Arabidopsis thaliana: one gene and its partners. The protein of the gene in region 1 interacts with the protein of each later gene in a pairwise test. Each region holds a gene or a part of one and is shown in the gene's direction. Other genes may lie near its edges.

The links.
Region 2: the proteins of AT1G01910 (region 1) and AT3G44280 interact in a two-hybrid assay, tested with the Arabidopsis thaliana proteins (one large-scale study listed by BioGRID).
Region 3: the proteins of AT1G01910 (region 1) and M10 interact in a two-hybrid assay, tested with the Arabidopsis thaliana proteins (one large-scale study listed by BioGRID).
Region 4: the proteins of AT1G01910 (region 1) and AT5G22280 interact in a two-hybrid assay, tested with the Arabidopsis thaliana proteins (one large-scale study listed by BioGRID).

The regions. Positions count from the first base shown.
Region 1 is NC_003070.9:311,746-318,371, reverse strand, and holds AT1G01910 (P-loop containing nucleoside triphosphate hydrolases superfamily protein), read left to right. Parts: upstream 1-2,281; 5' UTR 2,282-2,540; coding exon 2,541-2,795; intron 2,796-3,356; coding exon 3,357-3,481; intron 3,482-3,569; coding exon 3,570-3,720; intron 3,721-3,820; coding exon 3,821-3,931; exon of another isoform or gene 3,932-4,146; coding exon 4,147-4,285; intron 4,286-4,376; coding exon 4,377-4,492; coding exon of another isoform or gene 4,493-4,500; intron 4,501-4,612; coding exon 4,613-4,777; 3' UTR 4,778-5,218; downstream 5,219-6,626. Other genes in the region: AT1G01920 (SET domain-containing protein), read right to left, coding at 1-76, 171-227, 332-393, 527-607, 730-811, 916-1,078, 1,179-1,205, 1,282-1,364 and 4 more; SBTI1.1 (subtilase family protein), read right to left, coding at 5,361-6,626. UniProt on the Arabidopsis thaliana protein: ATPase required for the post-translational delivery of tail-anchored (TA) proteins to the endoplasmic reticulum. Recognizes and selectively binds the transmembrane domain of TA proteins in the cytosol.
Region 2 is NC_003074.8:15,967,113-15,973,802, reverse strand, and holds AT3G44280 (peptidyl-prolyl cis-trans isomerase G), read left to right. Parts: upstream 1-2,605; 5' UTR 2,606-2,876; intron 2,877-3,239; 5' UTR 3,240-3,270; coding exon 3,271-3,426; intron 3,427-4,732; coding exon of another isoform or gene 4,733-4,759; exon of another isoform or gene 4,760-4,872; coding exon 4,873-5,043; 3' UTR 5,044-5,288; downstream 5,289-6,690. Other genes in the region: NAC060 (NAC domain containing protein 60), read left to right, coding at 1-44, 185-418, 556-894.
Region 3 is NC_003071.7:17,207,043-17,211,858, forward strand, and holds M10 (late embryogenesis abundant protein (M10) / LEA protein M10), read left to right. Parts: upstream 1-2,654; 5' UTR 2,655-2,720; coding exon 2,721-2,811; intron 2,812-2,936; coding exon 2,937-3,169; 3' UTR 3,170-3,381; downstream 3,382-4,816. Other genes in the region: M17 (glycine-rich protein / late embryogenesis abundant protein (M17)), read left to right, coding at 1-450; SSL2 (strictosidine synthase-like 2), read right to left, coding at 3,557-4,142, 4,275-4,541. UniProt on the Arabidopsis thaliana protein: May be involved in the acquisition of desiccation tolerance during late phase of embryogenesis.
Region 4 is NC_003076.8:7,372,566-7,378,004, reverse strand, and holds AT5G22280 (peptidyl-prolyl cis-trans isomerase G), read left to right. Parts: upstream 1-2,285; 5' UTR 2,286-2,466; coding exon of another isoform or gene 2,467-2,499; intron 2,500-2,869; 5' UTR 2,870-2,892; coding exon 2,893-3,048; intron 3,049-3,478; coding exon 3,479-3,733; coding exon of another isoform or gene 3,734-3,794; 3' UTR 3,795-4,010; downstream 4,011-5,439. Other genes in the region: NAC089 (NAC domain containing protein 89), read left to right, coding at 507-708, 889-1,142, 1,309-1,539, 1,626-1,961; AT5G22270 (uncharacterized protein), read left to right, coding at 5,237-5,439.

The DNA.
Region 1 (6,626 bases):
GATAATGTACCTGAATAAATCCATTGTTAAACGTAACAACAGATGTGAGAACAAAATTGACGAGCATCTCCTTGATCTTGAAAGTTATGTTTCTCGTCATCATTCTCAAGACTTCTATAATACATCACTGGTTGAAAAGGTAGGGAACTGTTGATGGATGTAAATATTACCATGAGATAATCATCTGGGTTGTTATCTATCACAAAGCCATACAGGTAAAGAAGCTCCTGCATTCAGCAAGAAGGCACATCACTCAAACAAAGGGCTAGATGTGATTTTTTACCAAGAGACAAGTTATATAGTTGTACAAGATAGCTGCAAAACATCTTACCTCATTTCCTTTGTTACCATAACTGATCGAGATCTCCTTCTTTGGGATAGGACGTTGAGCAACTGCTTTACAGAATTGTAGCACTTAGTTTTCCGCATACAGATCAAAAAGAAGAGAGGAAAAAGAATGTTCTGTATTGTTTGATTGAAAAATTGTAGAAAGCTGAGAGGTAACACAAACAAATATTTGGCCAACCAGAGAGAAGGTACATGGAGAAAGGAACCCTAGATACTGATCCGATCCCATCAACTTCCCAAGTCGCCACAGGCTTCAAATCTATACTGCCATAACCATAGGTCATTATATCACATCACACTGGGATATACTCATTAACCATATCAACATTATGGAACGGAGAAACTGATAATAGAGTCTTTTTGAAACAAAGATTGGCATACCATGGTTGCAAAAGTCAATGCCAGGAACAAGCCCCTCAACCCATATTGTATCTCCGGATCCTACAGATGGCGCAGGTTGAGCCTGAATTTCTACCCATCAGAAAATGAAGAAACCCATGAAATTGTCGTTACATGATAGAATAATAATAATTAAAAAAGAGGCATTTCACACAGAATTCAGCAGACCGACGTTAATGACTTGCCTTTTTCCTCATTAGAATTAACTGGAGCCGTTTCAGGGGACTCACTTGTTGATGTGCATTCCCCGGTATCATCTTGGCTTTGTGGAAACACGAAAGAATGTGGAAGAGGAATATTCAAGGCGCGACTCCAGAATACAGAGTTTGCCCTGGCATAATTGAAAAAAGTCGCAAGATCACTAAGCAGCCCTTTACAAGACACAAAAGTCTGGTTCTACTAACAAGGAATAACACCAGTACCAAACATACCAGAGGAAGTGTTCAAAGGAGACCTTGCTGCACGAAGAGAGAAAACAAAATATGATTATCAATGAACAATAATTTGGTCTAAAAGTAGTGTAAATATGTCAACCTTTCGGAATCGCCATCCAAAATAAGAAGCTTTGTCACCAGGACCTCCACCTTGTCATGGTAAAGCGAGAGCAACTTCTTCTTCTGAGAATGAATACACGATGGTTATTGGGTTTAATAAATGAAAAGAGAAAATGTGGTTGCTATTTTAAGGACGATATGATAAGACAGGAATAAATGATCAAGATTGAGACCTGTAACTCGGTTGCGTGATACAAGTTAGTCCCTTTTAGCTCAAGGATGTCATCATCAGAAAACCAAAGAGGATTGCCAAATCGAGTAGGAAGCATATCAAGATACCTATCATATCATTTCTAGACAGATGAATACCCTTAAGCTTACGTAAATGTGTGCTAAGAGATTAAAAAAAAAACTTACGGCTTCCAAGAAGAATTGATACGAAGACGCTCCAAAGTGAGGAACAGAATCATGAGAAAGCGGTCATCAACTTGTCCTTGTTCGAACATTTTCTGACACTCAGGGCCCAGGAGAGGGTCCTGAAGAACTCTCATAGGGGTAATGGCCAGATCAAGCGGAACAACAAGCAAAACTTCTGAAAATTTCCAGAGCTGAATCAGAATTCAATATCAACTTTCCATACATATTCCCCGGAAAAAAACCCAGCAAGAAATGGTAAGAACAATACTATACCATCGGAAGCTTGAGTGGAGGTGGAAGCGAATATGCCAAATCCTTTTAGGGAGTCAGAATATTTGATGTTGCAGCCTCTTAATTCACCTCCATTCACCTGAATGAAATTAGATCGAAACACAAAATGCCATGATATAGAGCAGCAGATCAGGACTGAAAAACAACACTTAATCCGGATCTAACCTGAAGCCAATCTAGGAACCTTTCGAGTTTGGCTTCTTCTTCTGAAATCGCCATATCCTCCGGCGAAGATCAATATGCCGGCGACGGGTTTAACCGAGTAGAGAGGGGTTTTCAATCGTAACTCACAATACGCTGTCGTAATGGCTTCATCTATGTGGGCTTTTGTATGGGCTTATTTAGCGTTTATGAACTTAAACACACCAAATTTAAATTTTTAACAAAAAAAGAAAAATTGAACAAGTGAAAAACGATAACCAAAAAAATCAAACCAAGACTGCTGTGATATCCCAAAACCGAGAACCAAAATATTGAACCGGGCGGCGTTAAAAGTCTCTCGCCGCAGTTAAACTCTTCCGTACGCCAAATATCTAACAAGGAGCTCTTTAGATTGAGACTAGTGGAAGAGAGACGAGCAAGGAATTAGCAATGGCGGCGGATTTGCCGGAGGCGACAGTACAGAACATTCTGGACCAAGAGTCTCTTAAATGGGTTTTCGTCGGAGGTAAAGGAGGTGTTGGGAAGACGACATGCAGTTCAATTCTCGCAATTTGTCTCGCCAGTGTTCGATCCTCCGTTCTCATCATCTCCACCGATCCTGCTCACAATCTTAGTGATGCCTTTCAGCAACGCTTCACTAAATCTCCCACTTTGGTTCAAGGTTTCTCTAATCTCTTTGCCATGGTAAGCTTTCTCCGATTTTGTTCTAGATCGTGCTAGATTTTAGAGGGAATTTGGTAGTTTCGCTCCTGGATTTTAATCTCATTGGGAATTAGGGTTCTCTGATTCACGAATTTCAAACCGCAGATTGATGGATCAATTTTGATTTTGAAGTCAGATTTAGTACTTGCATAAATACGGTTGATTTGTGCCTTTCTTATCATATGCCCACTCTGATTTTGGGGATTAGGTTTGGAATTTGGACGCCAATTTGTATTCTTGATACGGAAGGGGATTGTGAAGAAGATTTGATGTCCCCAAATCAAATCGAATTTTTGTCTATTGTAGTTAAAATTCATGGCTAGTTATGCCAAATTCAAAAAAAAAAAAAAAAGTTGTTTTTTGTGGTTCTGGGTCGCCTCTAATAGACAGGCTTGATGATGACTTTATGGCTACTCTTCTAAGCTTGAAGCTCTTAGTTGTGTCTGTGTGTATATGTATATATATACACATACTATAAGCAAATGGTTACGATTCACACTCCTTCCCTCTTGATAGTGAGTGAATCTTGTTTGCTTTTCTCAGGAGGTAGATCCTACCGTTGAAACTGATGACATGGCTGGTACAGACGGGATGGATGGTTTATTCTCTGATTTGGCAAATGCGATTCCTGGAATCGATGAGGCTATGAGTTTTGCTGAGATGTTGAAGTAAATAGCCATTTAGTTCTTCTAGTAATCATCTGCCTTTATCCATGTATTATCACAGTCAAATTTTGATATGTTTATGTTTCCTTAGGTTGGTGCAAACAATGGATTATGCTACTATTGTGTTTGACACTGCTCCTACTGGACATACTCTCCGCCTGTTACAGTTTCCGGCCACACTAGAAAAGGGACTTTCGAAGTTGATGTCATTGAAGAGTAGATTTGGTGGCTTGATGACTCAGGCATGTCTTTAAGCTTGTCAAATTCAGTTTGCTTGGCAACAGATATTGCTCTTTGGTTTCTTCTTTGGCTGATTTTTCATGGAACTGATTGGTAATGCAGATGAGCCGTATGTTTGGCATGGAGGATGAGTTCGGAGAGGATGCTTTGCTGGGAAGACTTGAGGGCTTGAAAGATGTGATTGAGCAAGTAAATCGGCAATTCAAAGACCCGGTAACATTTTTTCAATTGTTTAAGTTCTTTGCTATTTTCAGTACTCATTGACTGTTTTCTTAACTCTGTTCGTGAAGTTTAGTTTTAGATTCTTCACATTGTTCTGTAGCATACGGTTTGACAGCATTCATTTGCATTAGTGAAAATTCTGATACATATCTAACAAACTCTGCATTTTAAGATAAGAAATTGACACATTTGGCTCCATTACGTAGGATATGACTACGTTCGTTTGTGTCTGCATCCCCGAGTTCTTGTCTCTCTATGAAACAGAGAGACTTGTTCAGGAACTCGCCAAGTTTGAGATTGACACGCATAACATTATCATCAACCAAGTACTATACGACGACGAAGGTGCCTATTTATTTGCTGTCGTGTCTATCTTCTCGTTTTGAACTTGTTTTACATACAAATTTGACGAATTATCTACACTTGTCTTCTGTAGATGTGGAGTCCAAGTTGCTCAGAGCAAGGATGCGGATGCAACAGAAGTATCTTGATCAGTTTTATATGCTATACGATGACTTTAATATCACAAAGCTTCCTCTGCTTCCGGAAGAGGTAAGAACGCATGACATTCAATATAGATGAGAAGGAACATGATCAAGACGAAAATGAAACTAAAGCCTTATATAATATACATCCTGAGATTTACACTTGTTGTGGATGTTTGGATCACAGGTGACAGGGGTTGAAGCCTTAAAGGCGTTTTCACATAAGTTCTTGACGCCGTACCATCCTACCACTAGCAGGAGCAATGTAGAGGAGCTGGAGAGGAAAGTACACACATTGCGTTTGCAGTTAAAAACAGCTGAAGAAGAACTCGAACGGGTCAAGAGTGGCTAAAGATAAGGCTCTGTTCTTCCCTTTAATTGTAAGTTTCTTTCCTCGCCATATTCTTGGAACTCACTTGCTTTCTACATGGGGGTCTTCTGGATCTGCGTTGTCATTTGGGTTTATTGTTGTTTATGTTTTGAACAATTTATAGGTGGAAAATTAAAACTGAATCTTTTTCTCTCTAGTTCTTCATCTAGCAACAACTCTTTATAGGACAGGAAAGAAGATCAAGCAGAATCTTCTTTTGCGTTGTTTTATTGTTATGCATTGGATTTGTTTTTATATTTGTAATAATCATGACTACATAGACTCATATCTACCAAGAAATCGTTGTTTTACGACTTAATCAGCTTTTTATATATTAAGTTGAAGGGTATCTGTGACAAGCGAATGCTATGATCTCTTGTAACAGCTTTTTATATACTGTAGACTGGTCTTGCAACAGAGAAGGAAAATTCATGTAAAAAAATTATAGTAAATAAGAGATGTTTTGATTTATTGACAAATTCTTACAAGTTTAGGGTAAGCTTTTGTTCAATAAGTTTCTTTGGTATATAATAAATATGAAAATGGCAATCAATAGATGCGAAATTTATTCCCACGTCACGGCGATTGGGCTTCTGACGTTGTATTTGTCACATATCCAAACCAAAACTCCAAAGGAAGACGAAGACGAATTTCTCGAAGCTTCTGCATCATACGTCACCGTATAACTCAACCTCTCTCTGGCCTTCTGGAACTTGAGCACCTTTGGTTCAACTCTCACCTTCACACCTTTTGGTTCCTCAACGTGCACCATATACTCACAAGTCGGTGACCCAACGTTAGTCACAGTCCTCTTATATCTCACCGTTTTCAAATTCGCGCCATTAACGAGGTTGACCGCGAACGAGGGATAGTTCAAATCACCGGGACTCAAAACGACGGCGTTACTAGCACACGTGTAGTTAGTGCCGGAGAACAAGAGTATTCTCTCACTCGTGTAGTTCAAGCTGCACAAGTAGTTGAGATAATCGACGGTGGAGGTATCGTATACCAGCCCGGGATCTACCGCTCGCGTGGGATCCACGTTTCCCGCTCCAAACGCAAACGCTGTGGCCGCCGATTCAGCTCCCGCGGCGCCTCTATCTCCGATCGGTCGGTTCCTATTGTCAGTGATCCTCGCCGTCGTCATGATTGCTGATTTGATCATCGCCGGTGACCAGTCCCCGTGAACGGACTTGATTAGAGCGGCGATTCCGCTGATGTGAGGACAAGCCATGGAGGTTCCCGAGATGATATTGAATTGGACGCGTCTTGGATCGGATCTGAGGAGGCTAGGGCTGCTGAACGGTGACCATCCGGCGAGGATGTTCAGACCGGGAGCCGCAATGTCCGGTTTAGCTATTTCCGGTCCCGCGACGCTAGGTCCTCTGGATGAGAACGCGGCTACCATCGGGGCGGTTGCACCATACGCGGTTCCTCTGAATCGAACGGAGGCGGTGGCGTTTGCTGCTCCGGCGAGGTAATTCAGTAAGGTTTTACCGTCGGAAAATCCAAGTGAAACGGCCGGTAAAACGTGAGGATCAGCAAGAAGCTCCTCTCCTTCCGCCTCTGTGCTCACAAGAAGCATCGCTGCTCCTCCGCTCCGTTTCACCTCTTCTCCTTTGGCCGTTCTGCCGCTGGCTCCTCTTAAGCAAATGACGATTTTACCCTCGACGAGTTCTCTCTTGAGCGAGTCCCGGATACAGAACACGGCTCCGCTTTCTTCTCCAGCTGTTCTGTTAAACGCCAAAGGCAGATTCTTTAAGCTTTTTCCTTTATACAAGGATGATCCGACCAAGCTTTTACGGTTCCCGATCCGGACAATCGCCGGAAA
Region 2 (6,690 bases), on another chromosome or scaffold:
CGGAATGGCTTATGCATGAGTACTGCATGATTGGAGTATCACTGGTAAACTTTTTTCTGATCCTTGAAGCCTTATTTTGCCACAAAATAGTAGTACTATATATTTGAAACACAAGGCTTTTCAAAGTACTAACTAGCAAATAGAATATTGTTATGTTTATTGAATTTTCTTGAGTGTTATATAGGATGCTCTGGTTATTTGCCGACTTAGGAGGAATACTGAATTTCAAGGGAGTACAATTCAAAAGCCACCACAACCAAGTTTACCACTGGATAAGCACGTAAACTTGCGGAATGAAGCTATTTCAGAAAGTATTTATGGTTGGGAAACTATGGTTGATTTCTACTTATCAAGTGAGTCAGGGCAAGAACTACTTAGTGAAATAGCAGAATCTTCACAATCTTCACAAAATCCACAGGTTGGTCCTCTTTTAATTAGTTCTTTGTATCATTAAGTATGTCACATGATGCATTTGCGGGTTGACATAGCACATTAACCCAAATGGTGAGGTCTAAATTCATGATTTGATTCCCAGGAATTTTTCCATGTTTAAAGGTTCCTAGTGAAGAAGATTTCTATGCCGATATACTGAGGGATGAAATAGTAAAGCTAGATGATCCGGCGGTATCCGGTAATACACTGATCAATGTACCAAGGCTTCAAACAGAGTCCAATACCACAAGAGTACTACCTTTACCTGACATGGTAGACAAACAAATGCAATCGTTGCTACAGAAACTACCATTACAAAATGACACTGGAGAAGAGAACAACATATCCATGTCAAATTGCTTTATCGGTATCTACTCGATTAAGTCTATAAACCGAGCGCGATGGGACGTTGTTGTTTGGTTACTCGTTATGATAGCCGTGTTGGTGTTTTATTTAGTGTGAGGTTAAAGAAGACATCTTCTAGGCAGTTTGCTTGGTTCTTTCTTAATGTTGAGAGAATATGTTGTTCTTGTTAGGCTTAGTTTACGTGTAGCATCTATGTGTTCTAAGTATATGAACCTGTGTGGTTTTCGAGATATATATGAATTCTGTATCAGGTAGATTTTTCTATCTTTATAAATTCATTGTCAATGAGATTTTCAGGTAGAAAAGAGATGTGGAAAATGTATATTTTATTTTGGTTTTAATTATCAAGTTAAAGAGGACTTCTTTTACACTTTGTAGTATTTCTTGGTGTTACTATGAGTCTTTATTCTTTTTTTACAATCAAACACTTTCAAACGAAGGAAAAAAAACACACATTTAAGATACAAAGCCGGAAGACACATGTAAGTCCACAGATATTTAACCGGCGGAAACGAGTATTCCTCAGATCTAAAACACAAAAACAAAAGCCAATTAAAGGTACCAAACCAGAATCAAACAAACAAAATCTAAAAGTTAATTCCTAATGCTCCAATTGAGATGCCATCTGTGAACACCACTTCTTTTCTGAACTGAATTTTGTTAGTGATGACGGAGATCATTACAACCACCGGAAAACTCTGAACTACGCGTCATCTCTTGATAATTACTAGATTTAAGAAATCAAAACATCTACTTACAACCCCAACTTGATGAGGCTTCGATGATGAAGCTTTGGAATCATCAAATACATGTTGACACCGGTAAATTCGAGATTCATTTGATGGAAGACCGATAAGCCGAAGTAGACTTTTCAGGTCTTGACCCAAATTTGACTGTGAAATCTTGTTGGAGGAAACTGAAGGAACCGTCTAACCGCAACATCACTCATCTCAGAGATGAGAGAGGTGGATAAATCGGTTGAAGGCCTAGGGAAGAGAAGCTAAATCTGAAGGATTTGAGGAAGCATGAGAACTAGGGATCAAAATTTGATTTCGAGAATCTATGGCTTGGGCACCTAGTTGACCATCACAACATAAACTTTATTCGGTCATGAACAACCGAGAGCAAAGCAGCAAGAAACGCCGACAGCCAACTTGATCATCTCGACTGTAAAAGTCAATTGATGTAGGATAAAAGCCAACCAAACACCTTAAAAATCTGGTGCATGTTGGAAAAGAGTCCGTTACACGGGATTTGATAACCGGAAAAGATCCGGACGGCAACAAACTTAATGAGTCTCCTTTGAAAGATTCAATAGAGAGAATAGAGAGAACCGACTATTCTAACTTTTGTTTTCATGTAGTATAAAAGTCTTTTGTTACTATGAGTCTATGATATCAATAATAGAATTATAGAGATCGATTTATTTGGGTTTTAGTTATTATTTTCCAAATCTTTAATTTGGGTTTTACAATACATTTTTCTCTCTAAATTGTCTTAAAAGTCTCTTTCATAAAGATAATTTTTTTTAGTAATGAGTTTTTATGTTATGGCTAAAAATATCTTTTAAGTAACAGATCAAATATCCAAAAGAAAATAATGATACTAATACTTCACATATATTTGACTTAGCCTAAAATTGGTCTATAAACATAAACTTTATTATCTCTGTATAATATGTTTCCTACCTTTATCTCCTCAATTAATACAATGTTGGGTAGGGAACTAGGGGTGTTTGTGACAATTTGAAATTTCAAGCTAAATTACTAAAAGTAATAAAATCTAGGATTACTTTTAGCAGAACAAAAATTAAATTATGGGGTCAATCTGAAACGTCATTAGTTCTGTTTCTTTTTTGTAAAGAAAAGATTTTGCGCAATTCATCATCAATCAAATAAAAACCTCAGCTTTTGGATTTCTCTACTAACACAAAAACTCTCATTTCTCTGTTTCTGATTGCGAATTCGATCTCAAAATTCGATTTTTGAAAGATCTCGTTCAATTTCACCATTCACGGAACCTAACGGAGGAAGAGGTCGATCATGAAGTTTCGTTCTTCCTCTGGTCAAATTCGATTTGTAAGTTCAAGATTATCTTAATCGCTTCACTGGGTCTTCATTTTTGTCGATTCTGAGAAAAGGGTTACAAGAAAAATTGAATTTTGATCTTAGAGGCCGATAAAAGCCCAAGTTGATAGATAGGTCTTAAATGTGTTATTGCTTGACTTTAGTAATTGCAGATTTTAGAAACTTTCCAAATATAATTTGATGATGATGGATTAATAAAATTGAATTTGTTAATCCACCACTTTTGTTTTACCTAGAAATAGTTAAAATTGCTTTGTGAATCCAAAGGAAATGTGTAGTCTTTGAGTTGCTAGGCTTGTAAATAGTGTATTGGATTATGAATTGGCTAAAACTTTTGGGTGTTTGGGGTGGCAGGTGTTTTAAAAACTGAAGTAAACATTAAACAATGTCGAAACCGGTCCTGCTCGTGTGTCTACTAGTTATACTTATAGTTACCTCTCAGTTTGAATGGAGGCAACCACTTGTTGAGTTAGATACAGCCACTAGCTCGTCTCAGAAACAGCAGCAAATTTCAGATAGGGAAGAAGCTGTCAAAGAGAAGGTACTGATTCCAAACTTTCTCTGTGTGTTTCCTTTTAGAAGACGAGAATTGTAGTTGTATACAACATCTAGTTTTGGGATTATGCCCTGTGTAGTGGGTACCTTAGTGTCTTGTTAATGAAGCTTCACTTTCATATATATGTTGCTTAGTGTCGTGCTTAAGGGTCATATGTTTTCATTAACTAAATCAGTTTTTAACCACGTTGTTTTTGAATCGACTTTATTCTTTGCATTGATTATCTTTTATGGGACTTTCTGCAACTTTAAACGATTTCTTGGATTGGATTTCGTGTCTTATTCTGTTAGTCTATGCGGTTGTGTATTGGAATTCTCCAATACTGAAAATTTTGTTCAACTGTTTGCTTGGATTACTTAGTAGGTTTTCCTCTTATGCATAAGACTAATTGAGAGAAGTGGAAAATTCATAAGACTAATTTAGACATAACTTCTTTGATTTTACATTTTAGTACTATAAGGATCCAATTGGAAGGCACTGGTTCCCAATTCTTTCATGCATGTTTCTGTGCGGTTTCCCGTTAAAAGAAGAGCTTGTTTAGTTGTATGTAAGATACATGATATAGTTTTGGGATGGTGACCTTATGGCCTAGATGTAGTGGTTGGTTACCTTTCGTTAGTGTCATGATGATTACGCTTCATCTTTATATATCTGTTGCTTGGCGTCATACCTAAGTGTATGCATTCATTAAATCAGTTTTTAATCCTTGGGTTGCTGTCTTAGAAGGTGTATTGATTACCATTTGACCTATTGTTTTTGAATTGATTACGTTTTCTTGGACTTTCTACGATTCTATATGTTTTCTTGGATAGGTTTCCGTGTCTTGTTCTGTTCCTCTCTGCTGTTATGTATGAAATAATTCAATAAGATTTCTCAAAAATGTGTTGTATCCTTTGCTTGGATTGCTTAGTGCGTTTTCTCTGATGCATAAGTAAGAATTCAAAACTATATGACTATATTAAACATAACTTCTTTTGATCTTATATTTTAGTACCATCGAGTAACCTCGGGTTTCCACTTAGTCTTGATCTCAATGTATTCTCTACCAACTTCCATCTTAGTAATCTATATCTTTCCATGCTAATCCATCTTGAGGCTATCATTATCTATGCTAGGATCACAAGTTTTCATTTAGACAACAATGACACTTGTAATAGCTGCAAATCCAAGAGTTGAAATGAAGTTAGATATATGGATTAGTAGCTCGTAGCTTTTGGGACTCAACATGATATAAGTTATGGGCTTGTACTCTTTTTCATCTGTATAATAACACATTCCAGGTTAGTTTCAGATGATTGTTTACTTCATCTGCTCGTAGAATGGTTCTCACTTAGGTATTTTCAGTCACCATCTACAAAAGGCTGCCCTTATTTTAGTGTGGTCTCAGGGGAAACGTCAAAATCTAACAGCAAAGTTCACTGTTTTTTACAGATCATTATATCACAAGAGAGACATATCCAGAGGCTAAATGAGCTAGTCAGGAGTCTTCAATTGCAGTTGCTGCAATGCAAGGGAGAGAATGAGACCCAAAATGCCACCAAAAGCTATCATATAAATAAACAATTCATCGAGGTCGAAAGGAAACAAATCCTGGAAGGCTAAACTCTGCAGCGACAAAACATTATTTTAATAACTGTTTTGGTAATGTACAAGTTGTGAAAGAAATCACTCTTTTAACTTTTGTGTTGAGATGTTGTATTGTACAAGAACAAGACGTCGGTTTTTTTTTATGTCGTTCGCTAAATCAATGTCCAATGTTAAATGCTCAACCCAACGTAAAGGCAATTTTCAATAATCGACGACCGATAAAGTCACTTTTTAAGCAAGCAAAATATTGACTTTTAAGCCAGCAAAATATTTTAAAGCTTATGAACGCTTTCTAGAAAAAAAAAAAAAACGTTTGAAGGATATGCGAGTTTGTTTCAATTTCTAAAATCTAAAATTTTGAGCATTCATATGATCCATCTATCGTTTTGAGTCTCTGTTTCCGTTGAATTGATCATCTTTCGTTTAACGGGAGTTTTTACTTTCTGTTTCCGTTGAATTGATCATCTTTCGCTTGGCGGGAATTTTTACTTTTTTTTTTTACTTTTTCGTTATCAATAAAAAGAAGATAGTTTAGTTATTTTGTAAATACAAGGGATAATTTAAAAAATTGACAATAGAAAAAGGTATTTTTGAAAAAAAAAAGAAAATGAGTATTTTTGCAAATGCTCCAAATTCTTTATCTTATATATCACAAGTCACCTAACCAATAAAATTTGCCACATAGGTTTTTATTTTTTCAATTATTTTTTATAAAAACAATTAAACAAAATTGGGTTACGTGAAATCAGAAAATTATATTGTAAGCCTGATAGCCCATCCAAATTCATAGTTTTTTACATGGTTTTTTTTTTTTGAATACCAGGAGGTTCTGGGCTGAAACCCATAATCGTTCTAGACCTGAAACCACAATATGTAATATTAGTTTCATCCCAAGCATCACTCGAACTGGCGACCTCTAAGCTTCGCCTATGGTCTTTTTTTTTTACTCATGTTTCACATCTAAATTCTTCAAAAAAGAATAGAAGATCCACCTCCATTTCCAGCTACGATTAGGATCACAGCGGGATCCACCGTGAGAGTTTCGTTTCCAAACGAAAACTCTGTCGATAACGGCCATAGATAAGGAGGAGAATCAGCCGGCGACGGAGTTGACAGAGATGAAGTGATAAATGAAGAAATGAATAGGAGAATAAGAAGAAGAAGATTTGTTGAAATTTTCGAAAAGAGTGTTTGGGTCAGTGGAGGATTGTTCGTTCTTGTCACATAAGAAGAAGACGAGGAAGATAGAACTTTTTTGAAGTCGAAAGATTCAATTTTTATTTATTACACGAAGAATCAATTTGAGTTAATATCATTTTTCTGGTAGTTCAATGTATTAGGAATGTGGTCTAACTTAATCTAAAATCTAGCTTTTGAGTAGGTATACCACATACTTATATATTGCTCCACAAATTATCAAATTCTTGATATGTGACATATTCTAACACACCCTCTCACGCTCAGGACTCGACATCTGAAGCGTGAAGTTTGTGGAAGTGGACATCCACGGGTGGTCCACAATTGAGACACATTGAAACCATGGGATTTGATACCATATTAGTATGAGCCTAACTCACACCTAAAAGCTAGCTTAAGAGCTAAAGATTTTGTCCCATTTTTTATGCCAGTTGTATGAGCCACATAGGTGTGAAACCATTTTTC
Region 3 (4,816 bases), on another chromosome or scaffold:
GGTTGTAGGTGGGGATGTTGCGGTGGGTGGTGGCGTGGACGGTGCAGATACTGTTGCAGGAGTCAAGCCGAGGCCAGCGAGGTTGTGGAAACTGTTGAGCCCAACGATGTTGAGCCTCAGCAGGGTGGCCGTGGTGGTGGCGGTGGTGGTGGCGGAGGCCGTGGTGGTTGTAGGTGGGGATGTTGCGGTGGGTGGTGGCGTGGACGGTGCAGATACTGTTGCAGGAGTCAAGCCGAGGCCAGCGAGGTTGTGGAAACTGTTGAGCCCAACGATGTTGAGCCTCAGCAGGGTGGCCGTGGTGGTGGCGGTGGTGGTGGCGGTGGCCGTGGTGGTTGTAGGTGGGGATGTTGCGGTGGGTGGTGGCGTGGACGGTGCAGATACTGTTGCAGGAGTCAAGCCGAGGCAAACGAGGTTGTGGAAACTGTTGAGGCCCAACAAGCTAAGCCATGAATTGCGTGTAATACAAACTCTCTATGTTTGTATGCATGCATAGCTAATTACCATTACGTACGTATGTCAAAATAAAGCAAAAATAGTACCTAAGAAGGTACCTAGAGGTCAATAAAAGAAAACGTAGGTTCATATAATATGTATTTTGTTATGTAGTGTTTCTTTTCTCGTGGATGTTATAAATAATAACAACTGTTTTTTAATTTATTTTTTGACAAATTTCGAGTCATAACCAATTCATATTATACGGGTAACACAATTGAGTTAAGTCAAATTCCGATAGGAAAAACGGAATAAAATGGACTTAATCATTTGAGTAAAGAAAGATCCCCAAATAATAACAACTGTTTTAATACCATGGATTATAATATTTTGTTCACAGTTTAAATTATGAAGAGGCATGCATGTAGCTAAGCTAGCTAGCTCAATAAAAGCCATAGGTTAATATAAAATGGAACCAAACAGAATTATTATCCTAAAAGTTAAGAATAAAGAATAACTGATTCTACTATAAAATCGTAAACATTAAAGGTGCTGCTGTAAAATCATGTATTCGAGGGGAATATCTCGTCTAATTATGTATGAATCAAGTATATTTGTATTAATCAATTTTAGTTTCTACATTAGTTACTTGTATGGGTGTTTTTAAATGGATAGTTTTAAATATATAAAAAAACATTTTCTGTATTCCTAAAAAGTTTGATGTTCTAGAGTTTTCACATATATTCAAAAATAATCATTGTTTAATTATTGGTTAATCATTTTTAAAAATTAAATATTTTTTAACAATTTTGAACTAATTGTAGTATAAAATAGTTAATCATTATGTCTTAAAATCTAAGATTTATTAATATTAATTAATAAAAATAAAGTAAAAACCTAAAAAATCAATCTTTATGTAACAAACTACAAACACGTAAACATCAATATTTTATGAAAAAAGAGAGTAAAAATATGAGTGTATTTAAATGAGAACTGTGTCTTCTTAGAGACATTTAAAACTCCTATTTTTGGGATATTTTTAACTTTACTATTATTTTTCGTGAAAGATATTTGTGAAAAATTGTTGAATGAGGATGGTCAAATAGATATACCCAGTTATCCACTTACATTATTTTCATGTTTCTTTTTATTTGTATTTTCATTTTTTTTGTGGTTTCATTTCTTACCTTCCAAAACTTCCGAAATTATTCGAAATTACGCCACTACTCTCGGTCAACCTCACGACGATGTCGTTCCTTTTGTACTTGGCCCAAACCGAATGGATCCAGTCCACTGGCAGTTCCAAGCCACATGTTCAATATGCCTACCCGGCTACTCCGAATTCTGGATCTATTTCTGTTGTCGGATAACCCCAAAAGCCTTTCCACAAAAATTTAGTAGTTTTCCTAAAATTTAGACGTTAACCCAGTAATATAGGATTCCACACGTGGTGGCATCGATCGACAACTATAAAGTAATCACCGTTTTTACTCCAAACGATGCCTGCGAATGCTATGTTGCTTAGAACTTGGAAGAGTGGTCAATTGTTTCGTAGTTGGGTCATACTTCATTAGTCTACCGATTCTGTCTCCACTCATCGTACTATCCCTCAATTAATCAATTAAATTAACAATTACGAGCTAATCCATCATATAAACATGCTCCTTTTATTAATATAAAGTATAAACATGTTCTTTGTTTAAGATAATATAAGATAATTTTAACTCTATAAAGTAGATAACTTCGGTCCGTGGATCGATATCCTATCCATTGGTCAATCGAAGGGCTTCATTCAGCTCACATGACAAAACCTGATTGGTTACACCACATGTTGTGCCAACTTTAAGAAGGCCCGTATAAGCATCGGCTATATAGAGGTCACAAGTGGATTTGTCAAAGGCAAGGCCGAACGGACGAACGGTCGTTTTTGGAATGGATAGAAGCTAACATTATCATTTCGAACGGTGGGTTTGAACTTTTAAGTCCAAGAATAGGACTTTGTGACCACTGGTGGACACGTGTAAACACGATAGGTTATGATCAGATCTATTATATATGGTCTCTAAAGATCATATAATTTTTTTTTAACATTTTCGTTATAGAAATATCCCTATAAATATATATGCCATTATCTTCGATCACGCGACAAAGTTGACTGGTATCTTGTCCCCAAGTTTTGCTGCCCAACTATAAATACATGTGCTGTGCTCATCATACACTTCACTAACAAAATCATCTTCCCTCAATAAACCAAATAAGCTAAGTGTTTTGTGTAACGAAAACAAAAAATGGGAAACCTCATGTCTCTCGTTCTCGTGGCTTTGCTCTTTTCTCTCTCCCTTGCTGTTATTGCGGACACATCCAACGATGCCACACATGGTGTGTGCAACTCTATATAATATAATTTCCCTTCACACTTTCGCATGATTAAATTTTTATTTTTTTTGGTAACAGATGATTAAATATTTGATCCATGGTGTATAACATGTATATCACACGTGCAGTTAAAGAAGAAGTGAAGCCGAGTACTGAAGCAACTGATGCTATAGAAGCCGAAGTCGAGGTCAATGACGCTGTTGTAGAGCCCCAGCAAGGCTTGCCTGGTGGTGGTTGTAGGTTCGGATGTTGCGGTGGGTACTGGTGGAATGGACTGTGCATATACTGTTGCCGCAGTCAAGCCGAGGCCAACGAAGTTGTAAAAACTGTTGAGCCTCAGAAGGAAGAAGCTAAGCCATGATTTCGCATGTAACACAAACTCTATATGTTTGTATGCATGCAGTGGTCAATTACCGTATGTATGTATAAATAAAAGAAGCATGGTGCCTAAGTAAGATACCTAGAGAGAGCTCAATAGAAAGAAACCAAAGGTTCATTAATGGTTTTTGGTTATGAGGTGTTTTTCTCGTGGATGTTATAAATAATAACTGTTTTAATATTAATATTTTGTTCACAGTTTAAATTATCAAAAGGCATGCATGTAGCTACCTAGCACAATATAAAGTGGTACTAAACGGACTTATTAGTTGTTATCCTAAAAAATAAGAATAGGGGGAGGGGGGATGTATCGTCTAATTATCTATATATGAATCATATTGTTGGAAAAACATATTTGTATTACTCAATTTTAGATTTTATACATGCCAGCGAAAGGAGTATTCACCGATCCAACCCAAAGAGTTCCATCTTTTTCTTCAACCTCACTTATAGATATCCACTTATTTTCATTTTTACCTTCGAATACCTCTAATATAACGCCACTATCCTCGCTCAACCTCACGGCCATGCCGTTCCCATTGTACCTGGCCCAAACCGAATGGACCTTCATCCAATCCACCGGCAGGCCCAAAGCGGCACGTCCAAGCCACGCGTTCGACATGGCGAACTTTGTCAGCTTTGAGTGTTTTGTGTTCAAGCCTACCCAGAATCCGCCACGTGGACTTCTCTTTATGTTGTCTGGAAACCCAGGGAGCCCCTCCGCGAAAATCTCGTAGTTATCGTGAGATTGAGACTTTACCGACGTTTCGTTGAGCCAGTAACGTAAGATACGACACATGGCGGTCTCGACGACGAGAAGGTAATCACCGTTTTGGCTTAAAGCGACACCGTTTACAAACGCTAAGTTGCTTAGAAGAGTGGTCACTTGTTTCGTGTTGTCGTACTTCATCAGTCTACCAGTTTTGTCCCCACTCATCATCGCCCCTATATAGTTCCTGGAAAAAAAAAACAATTTACGTACTAATAATGCATCATATAAACAAAACAAAAAAAAAAAACATATAAACAATGATCTTTTTCACTCATATAAAAACATGTTTTTCATTAAATTTCCAAGAATTTTGTACCTCCGTTGATAAACCGAACTACTGTCGGTAAAGTAGACAACTCCGGTCCGTGGATTGATATCCAAAGAATTGGTAAATCGAAGGGCCTCATTTAGCTCACGTGGTAACACCTGAGTGGCGACACCACCTGTTGGGCCAACTTTAAGAAGGCCCATATAAGCATCGGCTATATAAAGGTCACCAGTGGATTTGTCAAAGGCAAGGCCCAATGGTCGTCCACACACGTGTTCTGTTCGTTGGTGCTCGTGCGGGCCCTCACAACCTTCTCTACATTGAACAAACAAAACATAAATTGCCATCATTAATTGTTCTTCAGAACTATTTTGGCTATTAATAAGGCCCCGAGTTTAATGAGAAGTTTTATTTGCCACTCTCTCAGTTTCCCAAAAAAAAAAAGTTGTTGTAGAGTTTTTGTTTCCCCTCTCAGAAAACGGTTATTTCATCTTTTTAGTGTGGCTTTTCAAACCAAATGAATAATTTATCTCTTAGACTCTTACCCAAAACTAATAAACTTGAAACTTAAGTCACCACCATGTAAAACT
Region 4 (5,439 bases), on another chromosome or scaffold:
TCAAGAAGGATAAGTTTTCTTGTAATGATAAGTGGTTAACCCTTAAGCTTCAAATCAACAAAAACTTTGAGGTAACGCTTGTTGATTACGAGATCCTGAACAAGATATTTTGGGATATATAATTGTGAGCGATTGATCGATAGTAAGATTTCGGATATATATTGGGACTTTATCTGAAAACACTAAACAATAAGTCGTAAATTGGGAGTACGTAAAAACATTAAGGGTCTAAATGAAATAAAACCTATAATATAACTAGGTTTAGTGACGTGGCATGCACACGTAGATTAAGCAATGCCTTGGCAACACGTATGCAAAAACCCATATGTGTGCACCTGTGAAGTGTTCCAATAACAATTCAAAAGCTCCCTGAGCAAGTGAGAAGAGACCACACTGAGAAGAAAAATCCTTCAGGTTATCGAAAATTCCCGGATTTTACTCTTTGGGCGGTGGCCGATTTCTTACGCGCTCTTTTTGTGGCGACTGTTGTATACGCGCGAGCCTTCATGGACACGAAGGCGGTTGGAGTTTCTAAGGATACGGCGGCGTCGATGGAAGCGTCGACGGTGTTTCCTGGGTTTAAATTCTCGCCGACGGATGTGGAGTTGATTTCGTATTACCTGAAGCGGAAGATGGATGGCTTGGAGAGGTCCGTTGAGGTTATACCGGACCTTGAGATTTACAATTTCGAGCCTTGGGATTTACCCGGTTTGTCTTCGAATTCGAACCAATTGATTCTTTTGTGTCTTTCTTCTACTTGGAATTTGATTTTGTTGTTCTTCAGGCTTCAGGAGAGATCTCTATTTTGGGTGCCTAAGATATAAAGTTTCTATTTTTTGGCTCTTGGATTGGAATTGACAATTTTTTTTGTGTGTTTGTTCTTTGCAGATAAGTCGATTGTGAAATCTGATAGCGAGTGGTTCTTCTTCTGTGCGCGTGGGAAAAAGTATCCACATGGTTCACAGAACAGGAGAGCAACGAAGATGGGATACTGGAAAGCAACTGGGAAAGAGCGTGATGTGAAGTCTGGTTCTGAGGTCATTGGAACAAAGAGGACGCTTGTTTTCCATATTGGTCGTGCACCAAAAGGCGAAAGAACTGACTGGATTATGCACGAGTACTGCGTGAAAGGAGTATCTCTGGTAAAACTGTTCTCGAGAGTTTGTTTTTTCTTATAGATTAATTGTTAACCATTACATAAGAGGTGGTGACTTTGGCTACTTTTTGAGTCTCTAAGAGGAATACAGTAAAATTTTAGGAGTTTTGTCTTTGGCTTGAGTTGATTGATTATGTTTATGTAAATTCTAGGATGATGCTATGGTTGTTTGCCGGGTTAGGAGGAACAAAGAATACAATAGTGGTACAAGTCAGAAGGCACCAAAGCCAAATTCATCAGCCGAGAAGCATGCGAAAGTCCAAAATGGCGCTACGAGTTCAGGGAGCCCGTCTGATTGGGACAACTTGGTTGATTTTTACCTAGCAGGTGAATCAGGGGAGAAACTACTCGCTGAGATGGCAGAGTCATCAGAAAATCTACAGGTTTTGTCACCTGGCTTCTAATTGTTGTATGATGGTTCTTGATTGTTGTCGTTCTTCTTAATGAATGTTATGTGTGTGTGGTTTAGGTGGATAATGACGAGGATTTCTTTGCGGATATCCTAAGAGACGAAATCATCAATCTCGATGAAGCGGTGATGACAGGGAACACACCAAACGAAGTGCCAACACTAGAATCAGCATCAATGGAGATAAGGGTACTTCCTTTACCAAACATGATAGACAAACAAATGTCATCACTGTTAGAGGAAAGACCATCACAGAAGAAGAAAGGAAAAGACGCCACGGAATCATTGTCGAGCTGCTTCGTGGGTTTATACTCGATCAAATCAGTGAACAAGGCACGATGGGATGTTATTATAGGTGTAGTGGCTCTGATAGCAATGTTGTTTTATCTAGAATAAGAGGCTTATGGAAGTAGCGAAAAACAGTGTCCTAGCTATGTTTGTATCATCTTTTCTCGGACATTGACAAGGATTATATGATGTTTTTGTGTAAACGGTTTATGTTTTACACTTCTACTTCAAATCTGTGCAACCAAATCAAAACCTGAAATATCAAGCACAGAAGAACTAGTGGATATAGTTTTTACACTTCAAGGCTTATTAAGTGGTGTGTTTAATGAGAATCAGAGAATGGATAAATGATGGGGGCAAATTAGTAAATGACTATTTTCCAAATCCGTACTGTTTATCTTTCTCGTCCAGATGGTTGTTGCACTAAGATTTGTAGAATTTTCTCGCCGCCATTAAACCTCTGCTTTTGTTTCTTTCTCTCTTCTTCTATACGAGAACCCATTTTGGAGAAGTCAAGTTTCCTCAATACTCCGTCAAGCCGATTTTATTGATCTCGATCAGTTTCGTCAATTTTTCCGGTTTAAGAAACCCTAGAAAAGCTGATGATTCGATAATGAAGTTTGATTTCACTGTGATAAATCGATCTGTAAGTTGGAGATACTTAATCGTCTTCGTTATATCTTCTACGATGCTTCAATTTTGCTTTGTTGTGCTGAGGAAATTCAGTTTTTCTGTAGTATGTGTTATTTGCTTATCCTTAGTAAGTTAGTTACATATGAAGGAGATTCGTATTGAAACCCTAGGTCATTGATTTGATGGAGTTGCTTTTTATAGTATCAGCTTACACTGTTTACATTGTTCTACTTTTGGTTTTTAATTAGAAAATTTGAAGTGAGTAGGTGAATTTTAAGTCGCATCGATCTCATTTTCGATATATGTCTCAATTCGATTAGGCGTGGTCTTTGGATGTGTGTTTAGGATGGTATGAAATGGATTGATTGTGAAATTTGGAACAGGTTTTGTAAGAGCTGAATAGAAAATGTCGAGGCCGATCATGCTAGTCTTTCTTCTGGTTATACTTATAGTCACTTCTCAGTTTGAATGGAGGCAACCACTTCTTGAGCTTGATGCAGCTCCTAGCTTGTCTCAGAAACATCAGCAAATTGCAAAGAGGGAAGAAGCTGTCAAGGAGAAGGTACTTACTTCATTCTTAAACTCTTTTTCATTGAAGTTTTGTGTGTTCAGTTGTATGAGAAAGACCTGAGAATTCGTTTTGGGATTGTGACTTATAGATTAGTACAACTGTAGCAGAGATATGCATAATTGGATAGTGTCAGTTAACTTAGAATGCTCTGATGCTTAAGATTCCTATATCTGCTTCACTTGCCTTTTGAGTCAATCTATAACTATGCCTTAGTAGTTGTGTTGTTGACTTTATCCTCGACATTCTAGTCTCATGAGTCTCTGGACAAACATTCTTTGTAACTGGCTTTCATATCTCTATCTTCTTCTTTTTGAGAATGTCTATGGAATCCATCAATGACTGATCTGAGTTTTTAATGTTGCATAGAAATATTCGGGGTTTTTTTGCCTTCTGTTGTGTTTTCCCTGATTGCATCAAATAGATGAGGTTAGTGGAGAAACATAGACTTATTGGTCTTGCAACCTTAAAGTTCCATTGGATGTATGACGAACCTCATAACTTCAGCATAATTTTGAACCTGAAAATAGAAGAAGACCTGTCAATTCTTAGTTTGTTAATCGTTACAGATCATCTTGTCACAAGAGAGACATATCCAGAGGCTAAACGACCTTGTACGAAGTCTTCAAATGCAGTTACAGCGATGCAAAGGAGAGAACGAGACACGAAACGCCACTGAAACCTCCCATAATAACAAACAGTTCATTGAGCTCGAGAGGAAACACATCGTGGAAGACTAGTATTTCCTCCGGTTACATCAATTCTAATAAATAACCCAAATGGTACGTAAAAACTGTTGTAATTTACTTTTGTTGTGTTAAAAACCTTGCTGATGTTTTGATTAGAAGGATGATTTACTTTATTCACGTGTAAGATTGAGATATTTAAGTACTTGTAATAAAAGTTGAGAATTAGGGTACTTGTAATATCTTTAGTTATGGTTGATTGATTCTATCATTGTCGATGTCTTGGTATAGTCAAACTTTGGTTGTGTGTAGTTAGATTTTTACTTTGACTGATGAGGCTAACGAAAGTCTAAGATGACAAAAGCAATCTTATGTCATATTCTTTCCATGATTTCATCACTAGTCAGAGCCTAAATAAATCTCTTATTAGACACCAACCACAACTCCATATTTGTTCTAAGTCAAACAAAACCAAATCTCCCATGAATTTTCACATACTCATTTATTATTCTTCCATTTTACTATTTGGCATTCTAAAAGTCAATAATATTAACAGTCAAAAGCCATTCATCTGTTTTTGGTCAATCTTTCTATCATTTGTTGGCCGTGCGTCTAGCCGTCAAGCTATCCAAATTCATATTCACCAATACTTATCAATTTTTCAACAATAATTTTCGGTTTATTAAAAAAAGTATCATCATATACGACTTTAGAAATCTAATAATATCAACTACCCATTAAACTACAATTTGTTTTTGTCAACACCGATTTTAACTACATTACAACCTTCCAAGTTTGAAACAAATGCATTGTCTACTTCTTCCCTCTCAATTTGAATTTCGATTTTCATACTAATAATATGATGATTTATGAAAATGGACAAAAATATCTCCTTTGTAATTATCCAAATACTATTTGGTAATAAATGCAATTTCAAAGCACAAGTCATATACTCAATCTTTTGCATACTATTATTTTCAAATTACATTTATTGCTTACAAACACCTCATATTATAATTATTTTCTACAAGAATATTTATTTTGAAAGCTAGATGAAACTAATCCTACTAATTCATTAATATACATTCAATGAGACCCTCTCTCATCTTGCGTGTATCTTCTCCTCTATCTATATATATATAACAGCCACTAACATGCAGACATCAAACTATCTCTCTTTAAATCTCAAGAACAAGAACTAAACTACTACTAGTCTTCACCAAGGTAAAGCTACTTTGGAACCCGAGAACCAAGTTAATTTGTTCTCATCGAATTTTTTTTGTTCTCATATGTTGAAATTTTGTTATTGTCATCTTCACTTTTTGATTGATCGATAGAAAAATAAGTATTCAATTGATCAATTCTTTTTATATATATACATGTTTTATAAACCATGGATCTCCATCTAAAGTTTTGTTTTACTGTGTTTCTTATTCTGATTCTTGTAGAATAATATATCAACACACATAGTATACTCTTCTTGGAAGGCAAGGAACATGAATCAAGAAGCTGCGAGTAACCTTGGACTTGATCTGAAACTAAATATTTCACCGTCGTTGGATTCATCTTTGCTCACTGAGAGTTCATCGTCATCGTTATGCTCGGAGGAAGCTGAGGGTGGAGGAGGAGAGGCTAAATCAATGGTGGTCGTTGGCTGCCCTAATTGCATCATGTACATCATCACTTCTTTAGAGAATGA